Linked DNA regions of Diceros bicornis minor. The protein of the gene in region 1 interacts with the protein of each later gene in a pairwise test. Links are inferred from orthologs where the notes say so. Each region holds a gene or a part of one and is shown in the gene's direction. Other genes may lie near its edges.

Evidence for each region.
Region 2: the proteins of HABP4 (region 1) and C1QBP interact in a two-hybrid assay, tested with the Homo sapiens proteins (2 studies listed by BioGRID and IntAct). The link is inferred for Diceros bicornis minor from reciprocal best matches to the Homo sapiens genes HABP4 and C1QBP.
Region 3: the proteins of HABP4 (region 1) and RACK1 interact in a two-hybrid assay, tested with the Homo sapiens proteins (2 studies listed by BioGRID). The link is inferred for Diceros bicornis minor from reciprocal best matches to the Homo sapiens genes HABP4 and RACK1.

Annotation. Positions count from the first base shown.
Region 1 is NC_080761.1:3,916,027-3,922,935, reverse strand, and holds the start of HABP4 (intracellular hyaluronan-binding protein 4), read left to right. Parts: upstream 1-3,845; 5' UTR 3,846-3,927; coding exon 3,928-4,288; intron 4,289-6,909. UniProt on the Homo sapiens protein: Ribosome-binding protein that promotes ribosome hibernation, a process during which ribosomes are stabilized in an inactive state and preserved from proteasomal degradation.
Region 2 is NC_080757.1:12,097,356-12,104,799, reverse strand, and holds the start of C1QBP (complement component 1 Q subcomponent-binding protein, mitochondrial), read left to right. Parts: upstream 1-4,382; 5' UTR 4,383-4,421; coding exon 4,422-4,647; intron 4,648-5,941; coding exon 5,942-6,092; intron 6,093-7,444. Other genes in the region: ATP-dependent RNA helicase DHX33, read left to right, coding at 85-393.
Region 3 is NC_080740.1:94,223,894-94,230,919, reverse strand, and holds the start of RACK1 (small ribosomal subunit protein RACK1), read left to right. Parts: upstream 1-4,013; 5' UTR 4,014-4,296; coding exon 4,297-4,405; intron 4,406-4,707; exon of another isoform or gene 4,708-4,775; intron 4,776-5,458; coding exon 5,459-5,630; intron 5,631-5,921; exon of another isoform or gene 5,922-6,000; intron 6,001-6,162; coding exon 6,163-6,310; intron 6,311-6,549; coding exon 6,550-6,645; intron 6,646-7,026. UniProt on the Homo sapiens protein: Scaffolding protein involved in the recruitment, assembly and/or regulation of a variety of signaling molecules. Interacts with a wide variety of proteins and plays a role in many cellular processes.

The DNA of each region.
Region 1 (6,909 bases):
TGTCTGTTTGGTATTATAATTACTAAAGATAGTTTTTATGTCTTGAATTATTAGAAAGATCAGTCTATTACACTGACCACATTAAGCGCAATGTCGCAAATAACTCATGCTAATGTGGTGGAGTGTATTTTAGGAATGCATTTAGGGATGCAATCTCCCAGCAGAAAAATGGTCATGGAAAAATGTGAGGCTGCTTCATAAGTTACCATCAGTAAATTCTACAGTAAACAATAGCCCCATAAAAAACACACAGCCAGCTAATATCAGTTAGAAGCTACTCATCTCTATTTCTTTTTTTTTTTTTTTGTGAGGAAGATCAGCCCTGAGCTAACATCCATGCTAATCCTCCTCTTTTTGTTGAGGAAGACCGGCCCTGAGCTAACATCTACTGCCAATCCTCCTCCTTTTTTTCCCCCCAAAGCCCCAGTAGGTAATTGTATGTCATAGTTGCACATCCTTCTAGTTGCTGTATGTGGGACGTGGCCTCAGCATGGCCGGAGAAGCGGTGCGTCAGTGTGAGCCTGGGATCCGGGCCTGGGCCGCCAGTAGCGGAGTGCACGCACTTAACCGCTAAGCCACGGGGCCGGCCCTACTCATCTCTATTTCAACAGTTCTAAAGGTGTTCTTAATCTTGAAGCAACTAGAGTTGGTTGCTTTACAACTGTTTTAGGCAGTTATGATTTGGATATCAGGAGGGAGTGCCTGCAGCGCATGCCTTAAGAACTTGCTGTGGCTGGCTATGTTGGAAAGGAAACTGGAGGAAAATGGGGGAGCAGGCTATCTCCAGATGTCCAGGAGGAACATGACAGGCCCTTCTCTCAAGTGGTAATGGTCTTTGTGTTGTGGCTTAGTGACGGCAGCTTAAAGATGCCAGAGACAACTCTGGCTTGAAGCAGGGCTTCTCAAGGTATGGTATCTGGTGCATGGGGTGATTCTGGTGTGTGAAGAATCTCTGGAAATTTCATTCACCTCATAATTATGAGACCTTGTTATGACTCTACCTAGTCTTAAGCCTGATTCAAAATGATGGTGTTGATACTAATAATGTTGATAATGACTTTTACTGAGGATTTACTCTGTGCCAGGCTTGGTGCTGAACAGTTCATATGCAATATCTGACCCAGTCCTTACAACAGCCCTCTGAAGTACATACCATTATTTTCTCCATTTTACAGATGAGAAAACTGACAGACAGAAATAAGGAACATGTCCAAGGTCATAAAGTTAATTACTCGCAGAGCCAGGATTCAAATCATGGTCTAATTCCAAAATATATGCTTTTTAAAAAAATTATGGTAAAATACACATTTACTATTTTAACCATTTTAAAGTGTACAATTCAGTGGTATTTAGTATATTCACATTTTGTGCAACCATCACCACTATCTAGTTCCAGAAAATTTTCATTACCCCAAAAGGCAACTTTATGCCCATTAAGCAGTCACTCATCATTCCCTTCACCCAGAACCCTTGGCAACCACTATTCTGCTTTCTGTCTCTATGGATTTGCCTATTCTGGATATTTCAAATGAATGGAATCATATGAATGCCTTCTTTCTCTTAGCATAATGTTTTTAAGGTTGCAGCATGTATCATTTCATTCCTTTTTGTAGCCAAATATTAATCCATTGTACCAATTTGCTATCCATTCATCAGTTGATGTACATTTGGGTTGTTTCCACCTTTTGGTTATAGTGAGTAGTGCTGCTATGAACATTCAAGTACAAGTTTTTGTTTGAACACCTGCTCTCAATTCTTTTGGGTATAAAATATAGGCTTTTTATCATAAACCTCTGCTGACTCCAAGAAGGAGATGACCAAATATCTTAAAGTGTTCAGTAATTCAACAAATACTTAGTGAGAACTTACTGTACAGCTACCTAGAACGCTAAGCACTGGGAACATAAATTGCAATGAATAAGACAGGCCTCCTCCCTGTCCTCCTTGGGAATGACAGAAAATTGAACAAGTGAGTAAAACACAGACCTGGCAGCAGTTAGGATTAAGGGTTCCTTTTCCATTTGCTATTAAAAGAAAGTAAAAGCTGGTAATGACAGACCTGAGCAAGACGCTCTAACAGGATGCTTTTAGAAGCAAGAAGCAAGCACAACTAAGAGTAGCTTAGACAATGGTGGCATCTATTGTCTTACGTAACAATAAGTCTGAGGTAGGGAAGTTCCTGAGTGGGATGTCAGCAGCTCAGCAACATCGGGGAACGAGGAACGAGGCTTCTCCATCCTTCCGCTCCGCCATCCTCATAGTCACAATCAGGGACAGCAGCTCTAGGCGTCATGGCCTCCATACATAACAAAGACCAAAGACGAGAAGTGGGAAGATGGCAGATCCCTTCCCAATCCCTTTTTAGGTATAAGAAAAATGTTCCTAGAAATCCCCCAGAATACTTCCCATCAGGTCTGTTCTGCCAGATTTGCACCACAAGCCTATTCCTACACTCATCATTGGCAACGGAATGGAATTACAATGCATGATTTAAGATTAATCAAGTTTGAGGCTGGAAGTGGGCCCAGGTTCCCTTGGGGCATACAGCCACCTGATGCCCTAACAAAATACAGGTTCCGGGAAAATGTAAGAGGGAAAGAAAGGGCTGCAGGATAGGCAGCCAAGGTCTAGGCAAGATATCCCGGAGGAAGTCCAGTTCAGTGTTCTCTGAGCTCCAGGCGTCAATTGAATATCTCAAAAGAAAAAAAACAAAACAAAACAAAACCCAAACCTCAACATGTCCAAGACTGAACTCATGATTCTCATCAAAATGGTCTCTTTTAGTGCTGTTTCTTTGTGAATAGCACCACCATCCCAGCTGCACGAGTCAGAAAAACAGGAGTCATCACACCTTTCTTCTTCCTCATCACCCATATCTAGTGCATCACCAAGTCCTGTTGATATAACCTCTAAAATAGCTCTTGAAGCTACCACTCTCTTCACCTCCACTGCACCAGCCTAGTCCAAGGCACCATCATCAGCTCTTCCCTGGAGCTCTGCAAGTCTTCGGTCCGGTCTCGCTGCGCTCCCTTTGACCTCCCTCCAACCTAGTCCTTCACATAGCAGCTATGTGGCCTTTTCAAACACATGCTCATGCCTAAAAGTTGTTTCCCACTGCTCCTAGAACAATGACCAATCAAGGCCCTCTCCCAACTCTTTGCAATACAGTTCACTGGTTTTCTTTGAGCTTGAATGGGTTGCGCTCCATCCCACCTGAAACTTCTGCACTTGCCCTTGCTCCTGCGCTCGCCTTCCTTCAGATCTCAGCCTAACCGTCACTTCCTAGGGAAAACCTTTCCAAGCTTGCTAATTAGGTCGGGTCCCTTTGCTACAGGCTGGAAGAGAGGTCTATGCCTTTCCTTCAGGGCACTTTTCTGTCTACAGACTTAAGATCCATAAAAACACGGAGCTATTATCTTCTACAACGTAACGCCTGGCACATAGTAAATGTTCAATACACAGTTGTTGAATAGCTAAACGAATATATGTACTTAAAAGCGGAGTGGCCGATAACGAATGCGGAGCCAGTCCTAAAGAGAACACAAATAATGGCCGTGACCCATGCACCTCGGAGCTGCCTGGACCACAAGACTCGTTGCTCCTCCCAGTAGCTCCGCCCCGTGGGCCCCGCCCCTCCCTGCTGAGACGGGGGAGGGGCATAGGGGTCGCGCGACGTGACAGCAGCCGGCCGCTGATTGGGCTTCCAGTTGTGCCGGCTAGGAAAGGGGGCGTGTCCGCGCGCGCTGATTGGCTATCTGGCGGCGGCTGGGCGGGCGGTGGCGGCGGCGCGGGGGCGGGCCCTGGGAGGGACCTGACCAGGCAGGGCAGGGAGGGCGGCCGCAGCGGGCGGGATGGGTCGTCGCCGCCGGCTTCGCTGAGACTCGCTCGCGTGGGCTGCTCCGGCGGGCCCGCAGTGGTCGCGGCGGCATGAAAGGCGCTCTAGGGAGCCCCGTGGCTGCGGCCGCCGCAGGCGCTGCGATGCAGGAGAGTTTCGGCTGCGTCGTGGCCAACCGCTTCCACCAGCTGCTAGACGACGAGTCGGACCCGTTCGACATCCTACGCGAGGCCGAGCGCCGGCGCCAGCAGCAGCTGCAGCGCAAGAGGCGCGACGAGGCGGCGGCGGCGGCGGCCGGGGCCGGCAACCGCGGCGGCAGGAGCCCGGCCGGGGCCTCGGGCCACAGAGCCGGCGCGGGCGGCGGCCGCAGGGAGTCCCAGAAGGAGCGCAAGAGCCTCCCGGCCCCCGGCGCGCAGCAGCCCGACAGCACCGGGGCCGGCCCGCAGCCGCCCGGTACGCCCCCGGGGGTGCACGGTGGGCAGGAGAGGACGGAGAACGGGGTCACAGAGGTCACCCTCAGCCGCCCACGACCCCACTGGGAGACTGGGATCGCTGGAACCTGCTGCAGAGAGCGGAGGGGGCTCGGGGAGCAGTTGGTTGAGTTGAGGGTCCTTGTGGCTGAGAAAAGAGACGGGGATGGGGGGGTGGCACGCCCATTCTGGCCTCTCACGGTCCCTTCTGGGGGTTGGGGGAGTGCAGGCTTGGGCTGGGGGTCTCAGAGCCCCGAAACTGAGCCTTTCCAAGTTGGGCAAAGTTGAGGGATATTGCTGGGGTGCCGTGTGGGGGCTAAAAGTGAGGTCGCTATCCCAGGGCTCTCAAATCTAGAGCCAGCAGGGACTTTCTCCTCCTGCAGCCCAAGCTCTGCAAGATTCGGGTTGGGAGGTAGGAGAACCGTGGTGGGGGGGAGCGCCTCCGGCCCCTGGGTGCGGCGAGAGCAGGGGTTTGCGGCCCGGGGCCGAGGGTCGAGCCTCTGTGATGGAGGGAAGGCCTGGTGACCGCGGGGGGCCTGTGACGTCAGGGCCGTGAGCGGAATGCGGCGGGTGGACGCGGGTGCTGGCGCCTTCCGAGCCGTGCCTGCACCCGGCCCCTTACGGCTTCCAGCAGTCAGCCGGCATCGTGTTGCATCACTGCACGTAGTGTTGATGGGATGTGTGAGTTGTCGGTGACTCAGGCTGCTTTAAGAAAAACGTTTTAACCTTTCCGACAGGCATATTCTAAGTTCCCCCTCCCTGCTTAGCCAGAAGCTCCAGTGCGAAGCTTGGTGTACTACTGTCTATCTGGGGAGGGAGGGTGTGCGAGTCGTTTCTCACCTGAACTGCAACAGTGGCATAGTCAGCAAGACTCCACCCGTGTTTCCCTTTTTCCTAAAATTAGGCAGTGGTCCTAAGGTTTGACTATATAGTTCGACTGCTTCAGCCAATGTTCGGCGGTGTAGTCAGCTCGTCTTTACTGGCTTGCTCTTTGCTTGATAGAAACTGTGCATCCCAGCCGTGAGAGAACAACTCCTGAGTTAAGTGTTGGGCTTTGACTCCTACACCTAGGTAACGTTGACTTTTATCTGTGGAAAGGTCAGTGCAGCAATATTGCTTGAGAATCAGCAAGTCAAGTCACTGTAATAAAGATGTTGAAAATTATTTAAAATGCTTTTGGATATCTGAAGACCTCTTGGTAGGCCAGTAAGTTTATGAGCCTATTTAAACAGTGATAGAAACTTGAGATATAATGTACATTTTTTGTATTCCATTTTTTCTCATAAATCTATTTAGATAAATATCACAATAATGAAAGAATTGAAGAAAGCTAAGCTTTTTCTCTCCCTTTATTTTTTTAACAAATGCAAGTAAATATTTTATCCTTTAGAATAGTGTGAAACTGCATTTGGTGCTAATATATCACTTTTTAACCTTTTGAAAATTTAAAATGTCATGCATTTTTGTTATAAGATTTTAAATAATTGAGAAACGTATGAAAGTGAAAATCCCGTATTTTTCCTACTGTTAACACCTTGCATTTATATACATAAATGCACAAAGCTATTTTTTCCTAAAATGATACAAACTGAGTTGCAACCTGCTTCTTTCACTTAGCGTTGTAGTCTAGTTTAAAACTTTTTTTCAGTCAATTGTTTGTGATCCAGGTGGTCTGGCTTTTGAGATCTGTATTAAAGATCTTTAGTTAATTTTGTAGTTAAAATGGAAATCTTGTCATTCTGGTTCTTTTTCAAGTGTGTTCTTTCAGAAGCAAACAGCTCATAATTTCCATTTATGTAGTTATTGTACTAAATTTATCTGTAATGGGTGTTAGAGAGCTACTCTCTCGAGGTTTGTTGCCCTAATTGTATTGGACTGTGCTTTTCTAACACTCAAAATTTTTAATTTAGTTAGAATATTATAAGTGAATGCTTAGTGCAGATAAGAATCAAAGGCAAAACATGTTTCACATATAATAGAAACATTTATTAATCTCAAAAGGATGTGGAAATCATAAGATTTTCCCGTGGAAATGGAGATTTTTTTAATGTCCTTAACTATTTGACAGTGTACGTAGACCCTCGGGTGAGCTTTGCTCCATAAATTCCTCCTGAAGTCCTCAGGGACTCTTCAGCTTTGCTGTCTCTAGCCTTTCAGGACTGTTGTCCTTGGTCAAAGCTCAACTTTATTTTGTAGGAACTGTCACTGTGTATTTTACTGTATTCTGTCTCTTCATATGGGTTTGGGTTTAGGTCAGTGATCAGACTGCTTGTGCCAGCCTTTATTGGAAAGGGCCGGTGAAATTCAGTTTTTGCCCTCTCCTCTTGGAGCTGCTGATCCAGCACAGAAAAACTAGGTTCGGCTGCAGTCTTGATCTCTTAGTGCTCAATTGTGGGAAAAAACCGGACCCCTGTTATCTTTGTCTTTTTGGTTTTAGGAGAATGAAGTGTTTGCAGGGTATTGATAATTATTCTAATAAGTAGCCAATCATATTTAATGGTTTTCAAGTTATACACAGAAACTTTGGAAGAAGCTTTAATATAAATTATACAGTAAATGTCATTTTAAGGTTTGAATGGTGAATTCCAAATTTAATTGATACAA
Region 2 (7,444 bases), on another chromosome or scaffold:
TTTTAGGTGTGGTTGCTCCAAATACCATGTGCTGCTGAGCAGTAATGTTTGGGCTCTTCCATTTCTCGCTTCCCCCTGAAACAGATGTCGATGCCAATCACATCATCCCGCGGAGACACGGAGAGCGTCCGCCGCTGCCTGGCTCACAGCCTCTTCATGAGCACCGCCGAGCTTCAGCCGGACGGGTCCTATGCCACCACGGACACCCACCAGCCGGTGGCCATCCACCCCTCGTCTGTCCTCTTCCACTGCAAGCCAGCCTGCGTTGTGTACACCGAGCTGCTCTACACCAACAAGTGCTACATGCGGGACCTCTGCGTCGTGGACGCCGAGTGGCTGTATGAGGCTGCCCCCGAGTACTTCAGGAGGAAGCTGAGAACCGCCAGAAACTGAGCCGGATCTGCTGGTGCCTGGAGCTGAGACCATAGCTGTCCACATAGCTGACTTCCAGGTTGGCGCCTAGAGAGGTGGCAGGTTTTGATGTAGCGGAATGTGCCTGATTTCCAGGAGCTCGAGAGCGTCTTTGTTTAAACCCTGAAGACTGAACTGTGTAAATGTGTACATACCATTTTTACCTTGGAAACTTCAAAATTATGCTTTCGGTTATTGCTGGGTGACTTTAGGTGACTTAGTTAACTTCTGAGCCTCGGTTTCCTCATCTGCCAAATGAGGGTAATAATAATACTTACAGGGGTGGACTTATGAGGTTTACAGAAAATGAATGCAAAGTACCCAGAGCTGTGCCCGGCCTGCGATAAACATACGATGAATTGTGAGCCCTTATGCCCGATGTTATCGCTTTCTCCATGGTGTTAGTTGAGTACAACAAAACCGCCTGAGTTCCTGTGACTGAGAGGGATTTTCTGGAAGGGGACCATAGGAAATCGCAGAGTTGGATGTTGTCCTTGGATCTATTTTAATATCTATCTGTATGAAGTTTTTAAACAGAAAGCATAAGAGATTGACTTCTGTAGAAGTTTCAGGAGGGAGATGCTGTTGTGTCTCACCTAATGGGCTGGCTGCCCCTGTGAACACTCCCCAGGGTGTGGCCCTCTCAGAGACCAGTAAAGGAGTGCTCACAGGACGCTGGGCTGTGTCTCTTCATCCTCGGTGCCTCTCTGGTTCATATCCCCATCTGTGCTTTCAGGAGATGTGGAAGTTTCCTGGGTGTGGGGTGATCTGTATCTTCTGAATCGTGTCAAGTGTAGACATGGGAAACTGGCCTTGTGGTGTGATGCCTCCAGCATACCCAGTTGCCATTTTTCTCTCTAACTGGGCACATAGAAACATGTGAGCACAGGGAATGACGCCGTGCTACATTTCAGCTGTCTCTCTTCTGGCAGGGCCCCTGGGCAGAGGGCCATTGGGAGTGGGGTGGAGGACAGCGGCCAGTGGTCACTGCGAACCCAGACAGCAGTGGCTCGCCCCACCTGCCACGTCTGGCGTATATATTCTTTATTTTCTGGTGTGTATCTTATTTATTTTCTGTGATCTTTTTGTCCTTCTTCTTAGGGACAACCTAGCCTTGCTGCTTCCTAGCCATCCACCCCTCTCCAGGCTCAGTTTCCACATTTGTCAGAGGGAATTAGAGGGTCTCCACAGTCTCCTCCTTTTCTCATATTCTGAGAAGGGAAATGACACCAAAAGTTCTTCTTAGCTATTTGATTATCAGAAGCAAATAATATTTCCCCAGAGAATGTTTTGCCCTAGAAGCAGCCAAGGTTTAGCCCTTTACTTGTGCTACATTGGTCTAAACACACGTGCAATATTTTCGTCATCACTTACAGAGTGAATGTTGCAGTTGACAAGCAGGGGACCAGACTGCCCCAGAGGCTCTTCAGATTGAAGACAGTGGGTTGTCTCTTCCCTCTGGGTCCAGCGAGCTCTTCTCCGAGCCCGCAGCCTGCTGGCCTGCCCCGTCCTAGGTCCGCTCTGTCCAGGCCTGTGTACGTCCGGCTGGCCCAGGCTTTCCAACGGGAGCCGTGGCCTTGAGCAGGCAAGCTTTTAGCCAGTGTTCAAGGCTGTCTGGGTACTTGTGATTTATTTCTGTTAGAAATAGTTACACTTAGGCCGAACAGGATTCGACAGATCCTATATACCCTCTCTTACTGAATTCTTAGACTTTTAGCTGGCTCTTCCTCAGATCGACTTATTCTTACTGTTGCTGACTTTCTGAAAAGTTTTTCAGAAATTTTTTAAAGTGTATTTTTCTCATTTATTTAATAGAGACCTAGGATCTTTAGCCTGACTTAGTAAAAGGAACTATTGTATTTTTAATAAAGCATTCATCATGCTGGTACAAAATTGGGAGTGGGGTGCTTTATTATGTTCCTCAGCAAATTCTCTATCAAGAGGTGTTCTCTGGTGCAAGTAGAATGTAACTTCGGATAATTTATGTCCATCCTGAACAGTCTCTGGAAATGTATATTCTTTCCTGCCTGAGTAAGGGGTAAATAGCTTCTAAGTAAATGTAAATAGCTTCTAAGTAGTTTTAATGTTTCTGTACAGAAATAAGTTTAACACTGTAACATTCTGGTAGAGTTTTAATACAGTAGTTTTTTATTGGGCTTTTTAAAAAGTTAATTTTTAACATACCTGCTCAGGGATTAATTCAGATTGGAAAATCCATTCTGACTCCACTTGTTACTACAAAGAAATAAAGTTATTTCTGTTGAGCTGCAGGGAACAGAACACTTTAAACTTTCTTAAGGAAGTTAAGTGTTTCACAGTGATGTTGCGATACAATCTTGAGCTACTCTTTTTCAATTGGTAAAATCTCTGATGGTGTGACACCTCTTTTTCAACCTGTGAAATCCACCGCTGGGCAAATCACCAGCTCCCATGCGCAGCTTCGTGTCAGGAGATGCGCTCCAAGCAGATCACACACCTCAGGTGTTTGCTCTCTGCTTCTGGTAGTCATGGAGCCTGAAACATCCAGAGCAGCACAGATTTCATTACAAGGGGCAGGACTGCCAGCACTGGTCCTTGGTCAAGACCCCGATGTAATGTCGCATCTCTGCTGGTTGTAAGGAGATGCCAGAATGGAGACACGTTTTTGCTCTGTGGGTAACAATGATAATGTACTGTGATGCATAAATCCATTTAATCCAGCTGTCAGGAAGTACTTGGGACTGTGGCCAGGCATCTTAAGATACCATTACTTGAGCATATAAGGAAACACTGCACCTGTGGGGAAGTGATGGTTTTATTGTATTTTATTTGATTAGAATATTATAACTTGCAGAAGAAATCAAGTTGGTTCAGCTTTATGTTGTATTTTTAGAGTCTGGTCTTGTTCAAAACAGACATAGCTCTACAGAAACATCAGTTCTTGTATATAATGCTCAAATTTGCACATGAGTACCAAGTCCATTAAAAATGAATCTTGTACATGATGTGTGGCTTCTTTTTGAGTCTCCTTTCCCTTCTTCACAGAATGCTGTGTAGAATATATTAAGAATTAGTCTTATCTTGGCCACTAATTTGGGATGACTTACTTTCTTGGTAACATATATCCTAGGTGTCCTGGTAAGGTGGGAACATCAGTTCTTTTTTTAATTTTTTTTGGTGAGGAAGATTGTCCCTGAGCTAACATCTGTGTCAATCTTCTGTTTTGTATATGGGACCCCGCCACAGCATGGCTTGATAAGTGGTGTGTAGGTCTGCTCAAGCATCCAAACGCCTGAACCCACGAACCCCAGCCATGAAGGGGAGGTCACGAACTTAACCACTATGCCACCAGGCAGGACCGGAACATCAGTTCTTAACCTAAATCTGATGGAAGCCATGGCTTCTTGCCTCCAGAAAAATGACGTCCCATCAGAACTTGGGTGCAAGGTTGGAGGGTGCAGAGGGGCAGTGGCAGGAATTAACCAGGGATCCTGCCCTTCAGGAGCTCCCTTGTGGTGGAGGGGAGGGGAGGCTGCCAGTTAACCTCGCGGTGCCAGGAGGTTTCTGCTGAGAGGAGAGTGAAGCACAGGGGCGAGGTCCCACAGGCGTGAGTCCTTATTTGTTTCATAGAAGAGAGGAGGAGGTTCCTGGAAGGCCTCTTAAGGGGGATGACCTTGGAGGCTGGTCTTGGGAGCTGGGAGCGGCAAGAGCGCATTGAAGTCATAGAAAGCCTGGCGTGCTTTGAGAACAGTAGATGGAAATTTGGAGAGCAGCCACTGGAGAGAACTGATGCTGGCAAACTAAACAGCCTTGGACACCAAGCTCGGGCCTGCTCAGCTAAAGTTCAGTTACCGGAGTCAAGGACCCCCCGGCAGAGGGCGCAGTCCCGCCCACGGCGCCCTCGGTCTGCAAAGCGACGGCGCGGAAGTGCTTCCCGGGTGAGGGCGGGACTTCCGGCGGCGCGCTCGGTCAGGGGGTGCCTTGGCCCCGGGCGTCCTCCGCATCCGCACGTGTCTGCCTCCGCCTGCGCGATGCTGCCTCTGCTGCGCTGCGTGCCCCGCTCCCTGGGCTCCGCCATCGCCGGCCTCCGCGCCGCCGCGCTCTCCCCGGCGCTCCGGCAGCTGCTGCAGCCCGCGCCCCGGCCGTGCGCCCGGCCCTTCGGGCTGCTCAGCGTGCGCGCGGGGTCGGAGCGGCGGCCGGGCCTCCTGCGGCCTCACGGGCCCTGCGCCTGCGGCTGCGGCGCCCTGCACACGGAAGGTGAGTCTCGCGCACGTGGGCCGGGGCCGCGAGGGGCAGAGTCTTGGATGGGGTGGGGGCCCGTGGCGCGGGCGGGGAAGGGTAGACCGCGGGTAGACCAGCCGGAGCCGTCGCCCGAGGTCCGGAACGTGTTCCCATTTATTGACAATCAGAGGGTTAAACCCACGTGTGATCACATTTCCCCGATCCTCCAAGTGTTTAATTTTGAGGGGAGAGATACGGTTAAATCTGAAGGCTGACTTTATCCTTAGTCTCTCGAAAGTGGAACTTTGGGAAGGCTCAGGGTGTGGTTAAAAGTAGCGTAGTTATGTCTGTTGGCAAGTGAAAGAGGATGACGGGATTTTCACATGTTGGGGTATATGGGGTAGCCATTCTGGTTCAAAGTGGATTCAGCTTGAACTAAAGAAGCCTGATTTATGGTCTATCAAAGATACGTTGTACATCTGATTTGACCATTAAAGAATGCACTCTCTTAAGAGAAGAATGCATTGGGCCAGCCCCCTGGCTTAGTGGTTAAGTGCTCGTGCTCCGCTACTGGCGGCCCCGGTTCGGATCCTGGGTGCGCACCGATGCACCGCTTCTCCGGCCATGCTGAGGCCGCGTCCCACATACAGCAACTAGAAGGATGTGCACCTATGACATACAACTATCTACTGGGGCTTTGGGGGAGAAAAATAAATAAATAAAATTATAAAAAAAAAAGAGAAGAATGCATACTTCCCCTCCTACGCCCTATCAGTAACGCCTGTATTAGTCCCTTTCCCGCCATCAGGGTCGTGTTGACCTGCTAATCTGCAACTGAATACCTCTTTGAAATTTTGATGAATATGTATCCTGGATGTGTTTAATGTATGTTCTTTGGTCTAAAACGGTTTAAGATTGTATTGAAAACCATGCTTTTCTGGAATGCTTTCTTCCTTTGTGGAAACTGCCTTCCCAGATTATAATCCTCACCCTGGCTCAAGTAAAACTCACCCTACCTCTCTTATCTGTAGAATGGTTATCAGTTATTTTGCATGGTCAGGGTAATTGAGAATTCTCTTGCTTTTGGTGAAACGTGGTAATGGTTCATTGTTCGCAGTCACTTTTGCAGAATTCCCACTGGTGCCGTTAGGGCATTTTTACAGATGAGGACACAGGCTTAATGAATGTGAATTGGACTAAGTTCCCAGGCACCATTAATAGCAGAAGTGTTAGAAACAGTCCAAGTCCAGATTTCTGGGTGCAGTAACAGGTTATTTTTATGTTTCAGACTGGCTCTTCTTTTTCTGTGTCTTATGGCTTTTCATTGTAGGGGACAAAGCTTTTGTCGAATTCCTGAGTGATGAAATTAAGGAGGAAAAGAAGATACAGAAGCATAAGTCCCTCCCCAAGATGTCCGGAGGTTGGGAGCTGGAAGTAAATGGGACAGAAGCCAAATTAGTACGGAAAGTTGCTGGAGAAAAGTAAGTATTGGGGGCCTGCGGACTCCAGGGGACCAAATCCATGACCCCGCAGGACCTGCCCTGAGGCATCCCGGAACAGCCTTACAGTGCTAATGGAATCAGTTTGATCTCAGGTTTACAGTGCTGACTCATTACACTGCAGGCTCTGACTGAGCAAAACAAGGCCCTGCTCTCAGATGTTTTCAGTAGGTGAAAATGCAAGATATGTAACTCACGTGTAACAGGATGGGGTCACAGTATAAGAGCTGCCATTAGCAAGGAGGGGAGCTTTTGACCTAATTCAGCTGTTTAAGTCTATGATCTGTTTTGAGTGAACTTTTTTTTTTTTTTTTGCTTTTTCCCCCAAAGCCCCAGTAGATAGTTGTATGTCATAGCTGCACATCCTTCTAGTTTCTGTATGTGGGACACAGCTTCAGCATGGCCGGAGAAGCGGTGCGTTGGTGCGCGCCCAGGATCCGAACCCAGGCCGCCAGCAGCGGAGCGCGAGCACTTAACCGCTAAGCCATGGGGCCGGCCCTGAGTGAACTTTTGTATATGTTGTGAAGTCGGGTTTTGATTCTTTTTTGCCTAGTGGTACAGTGTGTTTTTCCCCATATATGGGTCAATTTTGTCTGCTGTAACTTCACCTAAACCATTTTCCAAGGGTAAGTCATAGCCAGTTTGGGGCCATTATAAATAATGTTCTAATGAACATAACTGCATTTCTGTGCCCAGGAGCTCAGTTCGGTCAGCACTGTTGCAGATTAGACAGATTTTGTGCTTAAACCTCAAACTACCATTATTCGATGGGAAGTGGCTTCCTGGCAAGGCAGCCACTTAGCGCAGTTACAGTGTGCTGTGTACGCAGAGTGCCTGCTGGAGTGCCACAGCCTAGCAGTGCTAGTGCCACATCTCACCTCGCTGCAGTTTCGACTCAAATTTTGGAACATGAGTTGTCAGATGATTCTTGCACCTTAAAGTTGCCATTAGTGGGGCCAGCCCCGTGGCTTAGCGGTTAAGTGCGTGCGCTCCGCCACTGGCGGCCCGGGTTCGGATCCCGGGCGCGCACCGACGCACCGCTTCTCCAGCCATGCTGGGGCCGCATCCCACATACAGCAACTAGAAGGATGTGCAACTATGACATACAACTATCTACTGGGGCTTTGGGGGAAAAAAAAGGAGGATTGGCAATAGATGTTAGCTCAGACCTGGTCTTCCTCACACACAAAAAAAGAAAAGTTGCCATTAGTTGGTGTTTCTGGCCTGCTTTGTGATGATAAAACTTCCCTCAGCTACTGAAGAATGAATCTGTCCTGCAGGGTGGTGGTCTTTGTGGGGCCAGGGCTGCTCTTGGTCCTCAGCTGATGCAACAG
Region 3 (7,026 bases), on another chromosome or scaffold:
GCTCAACACCTCACTCATAAGGCCATTGGTATATCCTTAGTCCCTCCCTTCATAGGACTTTCATGACCCTCCTAGGAACCCTCCTGCCCAGCTTCTGAACTCTTCCTGCTTCTAGTCTTACTCCTGCAACCTAGCTTCCACACTGACAATAAATGTCTTTCAGCAAAATCAAGTATAGGCAGGAGAAGGCTGAGATAATCCTAAAGGGAGGCCCTAGGCTTCAGGACAAAATCCAGATTCCTTAGCAGTCAATTCCTTGAGACTAGGGCTCCCTGCCCACCTTGGGTTTCACTCTTACCTTCCTTCTTGAAACCATCCCTCCCAAACCTGGGCACACAAACCACTTGTATACCTCTTCCCATGCTGATCTCTCTGCCTGGAACGCCCTCCCTTTAACTACTTGCCCTTAACTACTCAGCCTGTGAGGCTGGCCACCAAGATTAGAATCTTCCACAAGCCAAACCATCTACCAGGTGCTGGGAATGCAACCTGTGAGCAGAAACTGATTAGTCCCCATCCTTAGGGCACTCAGAGGAGAGCCCTGAGGGATTCAAATGATGACCAATTGAGCTAAATGCTGTGAAGGCCCAGCACACGCTGCACCACTGCTAGGAGAGCTTGAAACAAAGGAGCCTGACCTACACCTGAGGGTCACAGAGGGCTTCCCTGACTTGGCAACCTGTGCTGACACCAGAAGGAAGCTTAGATTTAACTAAGAAAAGGAGGGTGGGATATGGTGGGCCTTCCAGGCAGAAAAACAGTGTGTAGTGCTGTGTGGGAGAGAACTGATGAATTGGAGGAGCAGGGGAGGGCCTGTGTAGCCACAAAACACAGTATGGAGCATGCCAGAGCTAACCACACTGAATCTGCATCAGGGCAGTAAAACAAAGGGAAGTCACCCAGCCCTGAGCTGGCAGTCAGCAGGCTCTCTGGTCCTGGCCACACACCTTTTCCCCAGCCCCTCCACCACCACCTACAACAGCCCTCACCTCAGCATTCAAGGGAAGACCTGTCTCACCTCCTAAATGCTGGTAATAGGAGATGGAGGCTTCTGCTCCTGGAGAAGAGGTCATAAGGCTCTGGCAGGGAAACCCAAAAGGCTCTTTCCAGCTGTGCAGGTCCTTGTGGGCTCCCTCCACAAGAGGAATGGTGAGACGGACTTCCTTAGAAAAGCCTCTCCAATTTCTTCCTTGGGATTCTTACCTTGTATGGAATGGAAATGGGGCGCGTGGGGTGAGGGGAGAGAGGGGCAGCTCAGGGGCTCAGAGGAAAAGTGGGTAAGATGCAGGTGAACTCTGGGCCAGGAGTGGTGGGCGGGGCCGGAGTGGAGAGCCCAGCTAGGACAGGTTCTGCCCACAGGGCATGGAGGGGAGGAAGGAGCTGGGAGAAGCTCTGCGAAGAGTCTTCCCCAAAGGCTGGGTGGGGGCCACCAGCAGGCTTCCACCTCTGTGAGGTTGGAGAAGAGACGCCCTAGGTGAGAAGAAGCCCAAAGGCTCAACCCAGCCAGCACAGGTAGTAGACTTTGTTGTGGGAGGCGCGCGGCTGATTCTCAGACGCATCCCACAGCTTAGAGATGTCACCCCGCTAGAAGGGGTCGGGCTCCCTTTGCTGACCGAGAGCCCTCCCCGGAAGGAGTGAGGCGTCCAGGTGGGACCCTGACCCTGGCCAGGTGGGGGCCTGTATGCCTGGAGGGAGCCGCGGGGCCCCTGAGGGAAGCAGGTGTGGATAGGGCTAAAGTCCAGCTGGGGCTGAGAGGGAAAGGCGGCTGATGCACGCCCGTCCCCGCCCCTCGCTGCAGCCGATGTGGTCCTCAGGGTCGGGGCGGCACCTCCCTCGGCTCAGGACTGTCCTTCAGTGGCATTGTGGCTCACCAGCATCCCCACCAAGACAGGAGAGGCCGGGGGTGGTTGGAAGAAAACTCCGAGGTGGAAAGCCTGAAGCCGGCAGGGTCTGGTCGGGTCTGGTCGTCGGGGAAGTCCACCACATTCCATTTCTCCCTCTCCTCTGCTGGCATCGCCATCGCGGTCCTCGTGGGCTCCAGCGCAACAGCCGAATTCCCCTTTCGGCTCTAAAGAGGCGGGGGGATGGGGAGGGCACTGCCAGAATCGTCTTATAGAGTCACGGACGGTCGTGGGAAGGGACCCACTGACCCGCGCGAAGCGAAGGGCACCTTCCGCGGCCTGGGTCTCGGGAGGCGGGGCGGGGAGAACTCCGGGAGGGGCCGGGAAGAGGTGGGCAGGGGGAACCAGGGGGCGGGGCTCGCATGGGACCTGCCGGCTTCTGGAAAGGGGTCAGCGGTGCAAAGGTCCCATCCTGGAGCATTCGTGAGGGACCTGGAGGCTGTACCTCACGGATGCTGATTCCACAGGAGCTCCCTGGGCAATGTTCAAGAAACAGAGAGCCGGATTTTCGAGGCGGGAAAACTGTAATAATGTGACTGAATGATGATGTCTTTGGGGAGAGGAGGTAGGAGGTGAAGGAGCGAGTGCTCTTAAGGGCCGAGGAAATCCTCTGCGTGTACAGGCACGCGTGGAGTCGCTCACGTCTCCATTTGTGCCGAGCGCCAAGGAAGGCGCAGGCACGACCAGAATCGTGGACAGCGAGCTTGATATTGCGGTGAGTGAAGGGAGGGGTCCCCACGACCACAGGAGAAGCAAAACATGTGGGTCGGGTCGAGTTCAGTGTTGGAAAAGCTAAAGGACAGCGAGTTGGGGGTGCCAAAGAGGCAAGCGATGGAGGAGTCATCAGGCTATGGAGGAGCACAGCCAGGACAGCGCCCTGAGGAGCCGAGGTCCTTCCCCAAGCCTACGAGGCCCTTTGTCAACTGCCTCCCACCCCCTCACACCTTCTTCGAGTCTTTGCTCCGATCGCCCCGTCACCTTGCCCTCCCCCACCCCACCGAATGTAAACTCCAAAAAAAAAAAGGTCTCATCTGTCTTGTTCACAGTTGTATCCTCAAGACCTAAAACAGGGCCTGGAACCCAAGAGGTGCTCACTAAGTAAGCTGCGTGCATTTATTCTGCCAGGCGTTGTTCTGGGTGCTTTACCTTAACTTTCTCTTAACTCAGTTACTCTCCACAACACCACGTGAGGTAGGTACCAGTATTTCCAATCTCATTTCACAGGTGAGAAACTAAGGCTAATACATCCTCCAAAGAGAAAACAAAATACTATGTACAATCCGCCCTTTATTTTGCACAGACGATAGCGGCGGCTATCATCCAGATCTGTGCTGCCCCGCCTTGAAAAAATATCTGAGAGGGGCGCTCCCAGCAGTCTCTCCTAGTCAGGGGATGTGCGGGAGCGGGAGGCTCCACAGATTCACGCGCCGTGCGGCGGAACGTGAGGCCGGCAGGCAGCCAGGGACCCACGTTCCACTGCCTCCCTGTGCGCGCGCCTCCTTCAGGGCACGCTTGGCCCCCCGGGCCGCGGGCCACCCTGGAGGGTGATTAGGCCCCAGGGGTCGAACCCGGAGGTGCGTCCTCCCGGGCCGTTCCGTTCCTGCGGGGGCTCTCCGCGCAGCCTAGGCGGGGCGGGGTGGCCGTCCCGCGGCCCACAGACCGACTTTTCTTTCGTTCGCCGCCGGCTTTCCGCTCCATACCTCACTCTCGCCTTAGTCTGGCTTTGCATTAAGTCCCTCCGGACCCGGAGTGCCTCGGCCAATACCATCAGGGCACAAACCTCTTGAGGGAAGAGCAGCCTTCTGCGCATGGAAATCTGTTAGGGTTTAATAGTTCACCCGAGCACCGTTTATTTAAAAAGTTTAGTACCGTTTTTCTCACATCGCCCACCATCACTCAGAGTTGCGACCTCGGCTTTAGGCTCCCTCTCCGTGGCGCCCCCAGCCGCCGAGCGGAGAGGCGGGGCTCGCGCTGCGCCACGTAGGAGCCGTCAGGCGGCCGGGCGAGCCTTCTGGGAACGCGCCGCGCGCCTCCCCTATTCTTCGGCTCAGACGTCACGCCTCAGTCGACACCTGAGGATCCTTTTTAAGGACTCGGTCGTGTTGATTTCAGAACGTATTTGTACGGCGCTGCCAAGTTATGTTGCGTGGCGGAGGGGACCATGAGGTCCTGTTATTTCACCCAGTCCTATGGGCTACATGGCACCGCCATCTTGAGCAGGAGTGACGCACAGCGGTCGCCATTTTGTTCGAGAAGGCGGGTATATCCGGTTCCGGCGTAGGTTGTTCTCTCTTTTCCTCGGCGGGGCGGCAGCGCGAGTGGCTGTAGTGGTCGTGTCTCTGAGCTATCCGGTTCCATCCTCGTCGCTGCGGCGACACTCGCACCCGCCACCGCCATGACTGAACAGATGACCCTTCGTGGCACCCTCAAGGGCCACAACGGCTGGGTGACCCAGATCGCTACCACTCCCCAGTTCCCAGACATGATACTGTCGGCCTCGCGAGGTATGGCTGAGGTGTGGGGCAGAGGATTGGGGGAGAAGGGGGTTGCATGCACTGCGGGCTAGGCCAGTGGCGCGCGAGTTGGCTGCCCGGAAAACTCCGTCCGGGTGTGAGTTGGGCCATGCAGATCTTTGCCTAGGCCTCAGCCAAGATAAATCCCTAAGGCATCCCCGCTTAGCAGCTACCGAGACATAGATCAGCTCTTAGCTGCCAGGGAGTTGCGGGGTTGGGTGTTTTTCTCTTATTTCTTGCCCGCCTCCGTGCAGGTGTGGCTAAGTGTGTGCCCAGAAACCTACCGATCGGGCGGGGCAGTGATGAACCCAACATGCCATCTGAGAGCCCATGCTGAGACCCAGAGGCTGTTTCTGAGCTGCCGCCCGGACCTCTGCTGGGTGGGAAGTGGGTGGACTCCAAGGGGACCTCATGACTTCAGTTTCCCGGCTGCCCCGCGCCTGCCCTTTCTGCCCTGTTTTTTTTCCTTCTCCGTGTGCGTGACTGCGTTTGGAGGCTTCTTGTGCCTTCCGTTTGTGCCCACACTGTTGACGCTTGTCTGAGGCTAGGATCATGTCTTGTACTTAAAAGCTCCCTGAGTGCTACACATGTCAGTGAAAGCATCCGATCCTGTAGCGTATAAAGCAAGTTTTCCTAATTTCAGCACTCTGGTAGCCCTTAGCAGTAGTCGCCCATAGTTCGTCTTCCCACAGCCAGGCTGCTCTGTTTGTGCATTAGACCTCAGGTAAGTCTCGAAGTAGATGTTGAAGTGGTCTGAATATCGGAAAGGGGAATCCATGGTCTTTAATAAAGTTCTGCTCACTTCAGTTAAATTCTCGTGGTACTGCTTAGGTCTATTTGGCTGTTTATTCTTGAATAGTGAGTCACTTGGATTTGACAAGTAACCACTTTTATAGCCTGCAGTTACCCTCCCCACTTAAGTGTCCTTAATTTGTCGTTTTGTAAGTCTCAGTGACCTTGAGGCATCTTGGGTTGTCCTGTAGGTCAGCAAGTGAGTGTCGAGGTTTGTAACTGGATTTCCTTTTTTGTTTTACCTTTTCTTAGACAAGACCATCATCATGTGGAAGCTGACCCGGGATGAGACCAACTACGGCATCCCACAGCGTGCTCTTCGGGGTCACTCCCACTTTGTTAGTGATGTGGTCATCTCTTCAGATGGCCAGTTTGCCCTCTCAGGCTCCTGGGATGGAACCCTTCGCCTCTGGGATCTCACAACGCAAGTAGCTGCTCACTTAGCTCTGGGGCCTGGGCAGAAAAGAGGTAGATACTGTTGGGAAGTGGTTTCCCAGGGGCGATTAGGTCCGTTGAGGGCACTGTAAGGCAAAGAGCACCTAGAGATGGTTGGCGTTGTTTGGTTTTCCTTCTCGTTGCTCTTAATGAGTGATGCAGAATTGTTGAGGAGTGGTCTGGTGAGCAGTTTTGTCAGATATTGCAGTTGGGAGTAGGCGACAGTTTGAACATGTTTTATTTTGGGAGCTCAGTCTTGGGATGGTCAGGCATAATAGAGGATCCCAGTGATGACAGACGACATTGTCAGCCAATCCCCACGTGGGAATGAGGACATGTCCTGCAATTCTGAAGGGATTCTCTGACATATCTCAGCCAACCACCTGCTGTGATCAGAGCCATGACCAGGGTTGTGTGAGTAATGCAGCTCCACTAGGACAGGAACAAGGTCCCCAGGGAAATAGTCTGACTGTGGAAGAATGTTTGCAAAGTCGAGAGAGTGACCAAGTCTTCCCTCTCAGGGGCACCACCACACGCCGATTTGTGGGACATACCAAGGATGTGCTGAGTGTGGCCTTCTCCTCTGACAACCGGCAGATTGTCTCTGGCTCCCGTGATAAAACCATCAAGCTATGGAATACTCTGGGTGTATGCAAATACACTGTCCAGGTAAAGTGAAGGCACATGTTGTTGAAGGTTTTCTCCCATCCTTCTTAACCTTGGCTGTATCTGGTGATTCAAGCCTCATCTGGAATCTAAAAGGGGTCTGTTGATCTTAAAGGTTTGGGTTCTTGGGATGTGAATGCAAGGCTATCAACATGTATCCCATGTAACTGAGGGGAGGGGTGGGGGTCTAGAGTTTTATGGGACAAGACAGTTTTGCCTTATTTCCTTTCCATTCTCTGTAGGATGAGAGCCACTCGGAGTGGGTGTCTTGCGTCCGCTTCTCACCCAACAGCAGCAATCCCATCATTGTCTCCTGTGGCTGGGACAAGCTAGTCAAGGTGAGCTTGGAGCAGGGGTGTAGGGACTTTACCAGCCAGCATATGTACCTGCTTCTTCCCAGGTGGTCATAGCCTCCAACTTTGAAAGCTTTGTGCCGCGATTGACATTTTTCCTTTTGCTATTTTCTCAGTACAGCCCATCAGTTTTTGATATTTGGTCTGAAGTAGCTAATTGAAAGGCAGCACACATAGCATTTGTTACCTGTTTTAATCCTAATTGCTTTCCTGTGGCCTAGACAAATTCTTTAACCTTTTTTGTTAGTGATGGAAAGAAAAACGGCTACCCTATTCAGGAATGCTTTTAAACAAGATGCCTGTGCCTTTTTTTGTTTGGCTTGAGCCCTCCTGACCCTGGCTGATTCAGAGCCAGGTTCTTTACCT